Linked DNA regions of Cricetulus griseus. The protein of the gene in region 1 interacts with the protein of each later gene in a biochemical or structural test. Links are inferred from orthologs where the notes say so. Each region holds a gene or a part of one and is shown on either strand. Other genes may lie near its edges.

Region 1 (3,513 bases):
ATGTGGTTGCTGGGAATTGAACTCAGGACCTCTGGAAGAACAGTCAGTGCTCTTAACCTCTGAGCCATCTCTCCAGCCCTAAAAGTAATTTTTTAAGAGACAATAGAGACTCAGGTCCAAGAACCTCTACATATAAAAGCTTCTTTCAGAACAAACCTATTGTGGCACCGGGAGCCCCAAACTGAGCTCCTAAACAGAGGAGACTCCACTCCCACCCCTCTTGAGTATCTCATTCCCCATCTCTGGCTCACTACAATTTTTCTTGAATTAAACTCCCGAGCTTATTCTAGCTTCCCCTAACGGTGGTCTACTTTCGTGCTGTGAGTTTCTCTTCCTCCAGTCCTTTACTCTGTAGCTGGAAGTGAATTTTTTTTAGATTTATTTATTTATTATATATATAGTGTCCTGCCTGCATATATGCCTGCCAGAAGAAGGCACCAGATCTCACTACAGATGGTTGTGAGCCATCATGTGGTTGCTAGGAATTGAACTCAGTAGCTCTGGAAGACCAGCTAGTGTTCTTAACCACTGAGCCATCTCTCCAGCCCTGGAAGTGAGTCTTAAGTAGCTGAACCTCTCTTCTTGCTTCTCCCCTCATCCTAATTAAATGTCCCCACTCCCCCACCTCCTTTTCATCCCATCACTCACCCCTGAGTGCAGTTCTCATGGCAGGGCCGACATTCATTCTGAGCATCTGGGTACTTGTAGATTGGACCCTTGGCACCTAGGATTCCATGGGGGCAGCTGTTGACACAGTGGGGCCCATCACGGAAATGGGTACATTGAGCACAAGCCTCAGAGCCCTGAGTAGAAGAGGATTGTGGAGAATGAGATCTCAGTATTAATTCCAGCCTTTATCCCTTCAGGATTCTCATGTACAGATCCCAGGGTTCTCAGGCTCCCCTGGGAATTTGGCCATATCATTCTGTAGACATTGCCCATCTCCCTCACAGATCCCAAGGCTGCTACTGTACCGAGCCATTGCACGTGCTGGTGCCCTCCATGGGAAGGCATTCTGGGTGGCAGGAGAAACATTCACCCTCATGAGCAAACTCCCGAGGCTCCCTGCAGTGGGGGACAGACAGAGGGAGGTCACTTCCAAAGTTCTGACCTTCATGCCCTTATTCTGTAATAAGGGCTTTCTGCTTCATGCTCACCAAGACACAAGCAGAAAGCTGCCTACAAAGCCAGGGGTGGTGGCTCACATCTGTAATCCCAGAACTTTGGAAGCTAAGGCAGGAAGATTTCCATGAGTTCAAGGCCTGCCTGGATTACAGAGTGAGACCCTGTATAAAAACAAAAGCTAGCAGGCAGGCAAGCAAACAAGAAAGAAATAGAGGACCAGATGTGGTCATGCACACCTTTAACCTCAGCGCTCAGGAAGCAGAAGCAGGAAGATCTCTGAGTCCTGTCTGGTCCTGCATAGCAAGTTCCAGGCCAAGACTATAAGGTCCTGTCTGTCTGTCTCTCCCTGCCCCCACTCCCTCACTCCCTTGCTCCCTTCGATCGAGCCAGACACGGTGGCTCATAGCTGTAATCCCAGCATTTGGAAGGTTTAGACAGAAGGATTTAAGGCCCGTCTGGGCTACAGAGTGAGTGGGGGGTGGGAGGAGGGGGGGAAGGGAGAGTGAAAATCACAGTTCATTAGCGCCTGAACTCCTCCATCCATCCCTGGGCCTTACTCCACCCTCTTGGCATCCTCCACACTGTACCCTTTCAGGAAGTTGCAGTGAGTCACACAGACACCTTCCCGGCTGTAGTTTCGACAAGACAAGCACTGGCCAGGGCCTGGGCCCCAGCATCCCCCGGAGGAGCACAGTGGGTCACACACTTTACCCTCTGCCTCTGGAAAAGAACAGACAGGTTAAGAAAAGACTCAGGACTCCCAGGAAGCCTTCTTCTGAACAGTTCTTCATTGCTGCCACGTCCCACGTCCTTACTGGCTCCATCCCTCAAGCCTACTCCACTTTGAGGGTCTCACCTCCCCAACCACCAGTTCTTACTCCTGGTAGGCCCTTCCTCTCACCACATTCTCTCGGAGACCGATTATACTTGATGTCAAGTCTGTCATCCGAAGGCCCCCGGAGCAGTCTTGTCCAGTTCAGAGAATGGTGGTAGCAGAGCTGCTGATTGGCACTTATGTAGACACGCCCAGCACTAATTTCCTTCAGGGACCGGAGGCCCAGGGATGTGACATTCAGGTTCTTCATGATCAACAAGGAGAAGCCCCGGCTGGAATAAGGAGGCAGAATTAGAAGGCAGACTATAAAGGGAAAGTGGGATTTATTTCCACTCAACAAATTTGCTCCAGGCTAAGTTAGAGCCATGGAGAGGGATTCCCTCTTTTGGCGGGATTGTTTTCTGAGACAGATCTTACTACATCTCTGAGGCAGGTCAGGAATTCACTATGCAGCCCAAGCTGGTCTTGAACTTGCTGTGACCCTCCTGGGTCAGCCTCTGCAATGTTAAGGTTACAACCCCACATTTGCCCCCCCCCATTGTGTTAGCAGACTACTGGGGGCTGTTGGTTGGGAGACGCGCTGTGTTTCATAAGGAGACGCCCATCGCAATGTCTGGAGAAGATATCACCTCCACCTTACTCACTTGTAGAGGCTTCTGCCCCCGATGGTTGTCAGGTTGGAAAACACACTGAAGTTGTGCATGTGAGGAGGCCAGGACTGGATGTTTAGGTACCCTGAGGGGTTGGAGAGAGGCATATAAGCAGGGAGTCTTCTCCTGCCCTCAGGTTCCCTGTCACTGTCCCACTGTGCCTTGGAGTGTGACTTTTTTTTTTCTTTCCTTTTTTTTTTTCGAGACAGGGTTTCTCTGTATTGTTTTGAAGGCTGTATGGAACTCTCTCTGAAGACCAGGCTGGACTCAAACTCAAAGAGATCCATCTGCCTGTGCCTCCCGAGTGCTGGGGTTAAAGGCGTGCGCCACTTCTGTCCAGAAGAGTGTAACTTTTTTTTTATTATTATTTATATACAGCATTCTGCCTGCATGTATGCCTGCATGCCAGAAGAGGGCACCACATCTCCTTACAGATGGTTGTGAGCCACCATATCGTTGCTGGGAATTGAACTCAGGACCTCTGAGCCACCTCTCCAGTCCTCGAGTGTGACTTCTCTTAAGTGGTTTAACTATAATGCATGTCGGTGGGTCATCTGCTCCTTCCAGCAAAGGAAGTCTTTGATCTTCCTCACCTGTGATCTCCCGGACCGTCCTGAAAACATTGAGCTTCTCTGGGTCCAGCGCAGGGATCTTGTGCCAGGGGTCTCTGGGGGAATAGTGAAAACTTTTCAACAAAGAAGAGGCATGCATGACTCAGTGGTAATAAACACATCACACCTCAAAACACAGTTTCCAGATGTCATTTTTCCCTGCTGTGCCGGGGATCAAACCCAGGGCTTTAAATATGCTAAGCAAGCTGTGGTATTATAACCCAGCCTCTTGGCTCCTAAATCATAGTCTTCATCCTAAGGAAACAGAACTCCTTGGAGAGGTGCTGGTGGT
Region 2 (4,265 bases), on another chromosome or scaffold:
CCCAAGGCCAGATGCATCAGCATACATCCTAGGATAATTAACAGCGAAGAGAGTTGCAGGTTCCAGACCTAGGCTAGGCAGGACTGGATGCTGCCTGCACATCACCAGGAGGTCGGCTCCAATCCTGATAGGCTCCTGGATCCAGGCCGGGCATTTCCTCCTACCTCCCTGGGTTATAGGCAGGGTGATGGTTTGGGACTAAGGTGGGCAGATGATTAGTCCCACCTGGGCTGGACACTGGCCAAGGGTGGGGAGGATGATGTCAGAGGAGCCTCGGGCTGCTCCTCCCATTTTCATCTTTCCCCAGCCTGCACCCCTTGCTCCCAGGCTACCTGTAGGTTGGGGAGTCAGGGACTGAGGGCAGAGGCAGGTTGTTTGTGTTCCTCCTCAGCCAGGAAGTCCTATAGATGAGTCAAAGTTGAATGGGGAGCCTGGGGCATAGCTGTCCCGCCCCGCCCTGACTCACCTGTCCCCCAGATCCCTTCATGCCCTCACAGAAGGGTCAAGAGTTTGTCCTATCCTGGTGCCAGGAACCTTCCCAGGTGTCCTGGGCAGCCTCACAGTCCTGATGCAGGGTCTGGAGAACAGGCAGGATACTGGGATTGGCATTTTGTCTGGGTTCTGCCAGGTTCAGCACCATGGGGTCTGCTGGTTCCTGCAGAGAAAGGCTGGAACCTGCCCCACCCCCAACCCCTTGCCTGGTCTCGTCTGTCCTTACTTGTCCTAACTTCTCTGCACCCGTGGGTGCTAAGGCATAGGTGAGACTCTAATGTGTGCCAGGTGCTTTCAGACCAGAGATGGGTTAAGACAGGTGCACAGTAGTGGGGGTAGAGTTCCCAGCACCAGGCTGAGTGTGACAAGTCCAAGAGAACTTCTCATCCATAGGAGGTGGCTTTATCATTGTGGCTTTGGGTAAAAATTGGGTGGGATGAGGAGTCTGGGAAGGCCCACCGAGTTTGTGGGTGCTGGGGTAAGAGCCCCCCAGGCCTCCTGTTTCCACCACAACCTGAGCACATGGTCCTGCCCTCCTGATCCTGTCCTTCCTAATCGCCTCTCTCTATCACTCATCTCTCTGCCAGGTGTTACCACAACAGGCCTGGCAAACTGCATCTGGCAACAGGTGCTAGAACAATAAAGTGCTGGAAAAATCTGGGGCAGAGCCCAGTGGCATGAACAGCCTTTGCCCTGACCCTGTGGCTCCAGCTAGGGACATGTGGCATGGAGCCTACCTCTTCTTTCCCCTGAGCTGGTGTTGCTGCAGGGAGAGCACTGGCATTGGAGTCCCAAGCACCAGACTGAATGCCACTGGGCACATGCGTACTTCCTTCTCAGGACCCCAGTGTTCCTTTCTATGAAGTGGGCGTGCCCTGTATCCCCTCTGAGGGCTCCGAGGAAACTGCAGTTTGAAGGGATCAGCGATAGCACATGGCATCAACATTGTCTTCACAGGTACCATGGAACTGGATCTGAGCCCACCTCATCTCAGCAGCTCCCCAGAAGATGCGTGCCCAGCTCCTGGGACCCCTCCTGAGACTCCTCCACCCCCTGATAACCCTCCAGCTGGGGATGTGAAGCGGTCACAGCCTCTGCCCATTCCAAGCAGCAGGTAGGATCGGACAGTGGGGCTGCATGGGTAGGGAGGTCTGGGGACAGGGAGGCGAGCCAGCACTGACTAACACATAGTGGCTTCCATCCCTCAACTCTGACATAGGAAACTTCGAGAAGAGGAGCTTCAGGTGACCTCGCTACCCTCCATCCCCAACCCGTTCCCTGAGCTCTGCAGCCCGCCTTCACAGAAACCCATTCTTGGAGGTTCCTCCAGTGCAAGGGGGTTGCTTTCTCGAGATTCCAGTCGCCTCCATGTGAGTTGTTTTGGGAAAGGGAACAGTGGGGACAGTGCTGCCCCAGCCCCGGGCAGATGTGGTGTCGCCTCTTTGGTGCAGGTCCCTGAACATAAGTCAGAGAGTAGAGTCCCCCGCCCCTGCCTTGCCCCAAGTAACCTGCAGTTCCTGGGGTACAGGTGGTGAAGGTGTACAGTGAGGATGGGACCTGCCGGTCTGTGGAGGTGGCAGCGGGTGCCACAGCTCGACATGTGTGTGAAATGCTGGTACAGCGAGCCCATGCCCTGGGTGATGAGAGCTGGGGCCTGGTGGAATGCCATCCCTATTTAGCACTGGGTGAGTCGGGGTACAAGGAGCTGTGGGGCGATGTCTTGGGCAAGATAGGTGGCTCATCTGTGAGGCTTGGTTAATTTCTACCAACCCCTGCTTTTCACCCTTGATCTCAGAGCGGGGTGTGGAGGACCATGAGTTTGTGGTGGAAGTGCAGGAGGCCTGGCCTGTTGGTGGAGATAGTCGCTTTGTCTTCCGCAAAAACTTTGCCAAGTATGAACTGTTCAAGAGCCCCCCGGTGAGTGGGAACTGGGTGTACACACACACACACACACACACACACACACACACACACACACACTCTAGATCCCTAGCCTGGATTCTTGAGCGTTGATTCCTAACTATTTCTTTCTTCCCTAGCATACACTGTTCCCAGAAAAGATGGTCTCCAGCTGTCTGGATGCACAAACAGGCACATCTCATGAAGACCTCATCCAGGTGAGGTCTGCCTCACCATAGATCCACAATTCTCCCTACCCCCTTACCCCAAGTCATCCAGTGTTTCTACCCTCTGCTGCCATGTGTGATCTGATCTGTGTTTGTTGGTGTCTGCCGCCACCATGGTGACCTTTGCTGGTGAAATGGTGGCAGTCAGTGCTGGTGCAGCACCTCCTGCGGAGGTTTGAGAGGAGGCAAGCCCTTCACCCCTGTTCACATCTGTCCCCAGAACTTCCTGAATGCCGGCAGCTTCCCCGAGATCCAGGGCTTTCTGCAGCTTCGGGGCTCTGGCCGGGGCTCAGGCCGAAAGCTTTGGAAACGGTTCTTCTGCTTTCTGCGCCGGTCCGGCCTCTACTACTCCACCAAGGGCACGTCCAAGGTGAGGTCTTGAGGTCAGCTCTCGCCTGTCATGTACTTCTTCCTCACTAGTGCTTCTTGACCCTTCCATCTTGGGCCCGGGGATCCTCAGCTGCTCTTCCTTCCCCTTGGGCTGGCTGTCTTCAGGCCATGCCAGAATCTATCCATCCCAACCCCTGTTTGGCTCACCTACCCTAGGAATGGCAGTAGAAAACATAGGCGCCTGTGTGTGTGTGTGTGTGTGTGTGTGTGTGTGTGTGTGTGTGAGAGAGAGAGAGAGAGAGAGAGGGAGAGGGAGAGGGAGAGGGAGAGGGAGGAAGGGAGGGAGGGAGGGAGAGAGAGACATTGTTAGCCATCACCATTGGTCTCAGGTCTTCAGGACCTTGTTTTTGAAGACAGGGTCCCTACTAGGACCTAGGACTTGCAGATTAGGTCAGGCTGAGTGGCAACCCCACACGGGGATTAGAAGTGTATAGCATTACATCCAGCTCTTTAAGTGGGTGCTGGGGATTAAACTTGGGTCCTCCTGCTTGCACAGCAAGCCTTTTACCAACTGAGCCCTCTCCTCAGCCTCTATCTGCTGTGTGAACATGGGTATTTCCCTGCCTCTCCCTGGTCCTAAACTCTCTTTACCTGGTGGGGCACTAATGTGGAGATAGGACCTACCTGTACCAAGCCCTACTTTCTCACCATGCCCAGGACCCGAGGCACCTACAGTATGTGGCAGATGTGAATGAGTCTAATGCCTATGTGGTGACCCAGGGCCGCAAGCTCTATGGGGTGCCCACGGACTTCGGCTTCTGTGTCAAGGTGAGGACTCAAGCAAGGCCTGGTGTGTGTGGGGGGGCGGTGAGAGCTGTCCAAATTCTAGTGTCCTGCCTATGGCTTGTGAACCCCGTCTTGAGAAACCCAGCCAATTACCGCTATACCTGCACATCTGGGTAGTCCTTGGGCCCTTCTTTGCCCCGTGGCAACTGGGCACAGAATCAGACAGGGGACAGACCACTTCCTCTCTCCCAGCCCAACAAGCTTCGAAATGGCCACAAGGGCCTCCACATCTTCTGCAGTGAGGATGAGCAGAGCCGGACCTGCTGGCTCACTGCTTTCCGTCTCTTCAAGGTAAGACCCCTGGAACAGCAGGGGGGCTGGCCTTGCCTGAGGGAGGTGACATGGCTCTGCCTTCAGGAAGTCTTCCCAGTAAGAGGTCACCATAGCCGGGCTTCTGAGAATACCAGTCAGGAAGGGCAGGGTCAGCCCTACTCTGGAGAAGTCCTGGCCTGAGGGGTGTCACAGCCCATC

What was found.
Region 2: the proteins of Erbb3 (region 1) and Grb7 form a complex in vitro, tested with the Homo sapiens proteins (2 studies listed by BioGRID and IntAct, with this or other methods). The link is inferred for Cricetulus griseus from reciprocal best matches to the Homo sapiens genes ERBB3 and GRB7.

Annotation. Positions count from the first base shown.
Region 1 is NW_023276806.1:129,327,161-129,330,673, reverse strand, and holds part of Erbb3 (receptor tyrosine-protein kinase erbB-3), read right to left. Parts: intron 3,278-3,513; coding exon 3,204-3,277; intron 2,696-3,203; coding exon 2,605-2,695; intron 2,233-2,604; coding exon 2,027-2,232; intron 1,846-2,026; coding exon 1,713-1,845; intron 1,066-1,712; coding exon 975-1,065; intron 804-974; coding exon 649-803; intron 1-648. UniProt on the Homo sapiens protein: Tyrosine-protein kinase that plays an essential role as cell surface receptor for neuregulins.
Region 2 is NC_048600.1:111,572,256-111,576,520, forward strand, and holds the start of Grb7 (growth factor receptor-bound protein 7), read left to right. Parts: upstream 1-1,454; coding exon 1,455-1,606; intron 1,607-1,711; coding exon 1,712-1,862; intron 1,863-2,020; coding exon 2,021-2,177; intron 2,178-2,287; coding exon 2,288-2,409; intron 2,410-2,531; coding exon 2,532-2,609; intron 2,610-2,838; coding exon 2,839-2,988; intron 2,989-3,665; coding exon 3,666-3,776; intron 3,777-3,986; coding exon 3,987-4,085; intron 4,086-4,265. UniProt on the Homo sapiens protein: Adapter protein that interacts with the cytoplasmic domain of numerous receptor kinases and modulates down-stream signaling. Promotes activation of down-stream protein kinases, including STAT3, AKT1, MAPK1 and/or MAPK3. Promotes activation of HRAS.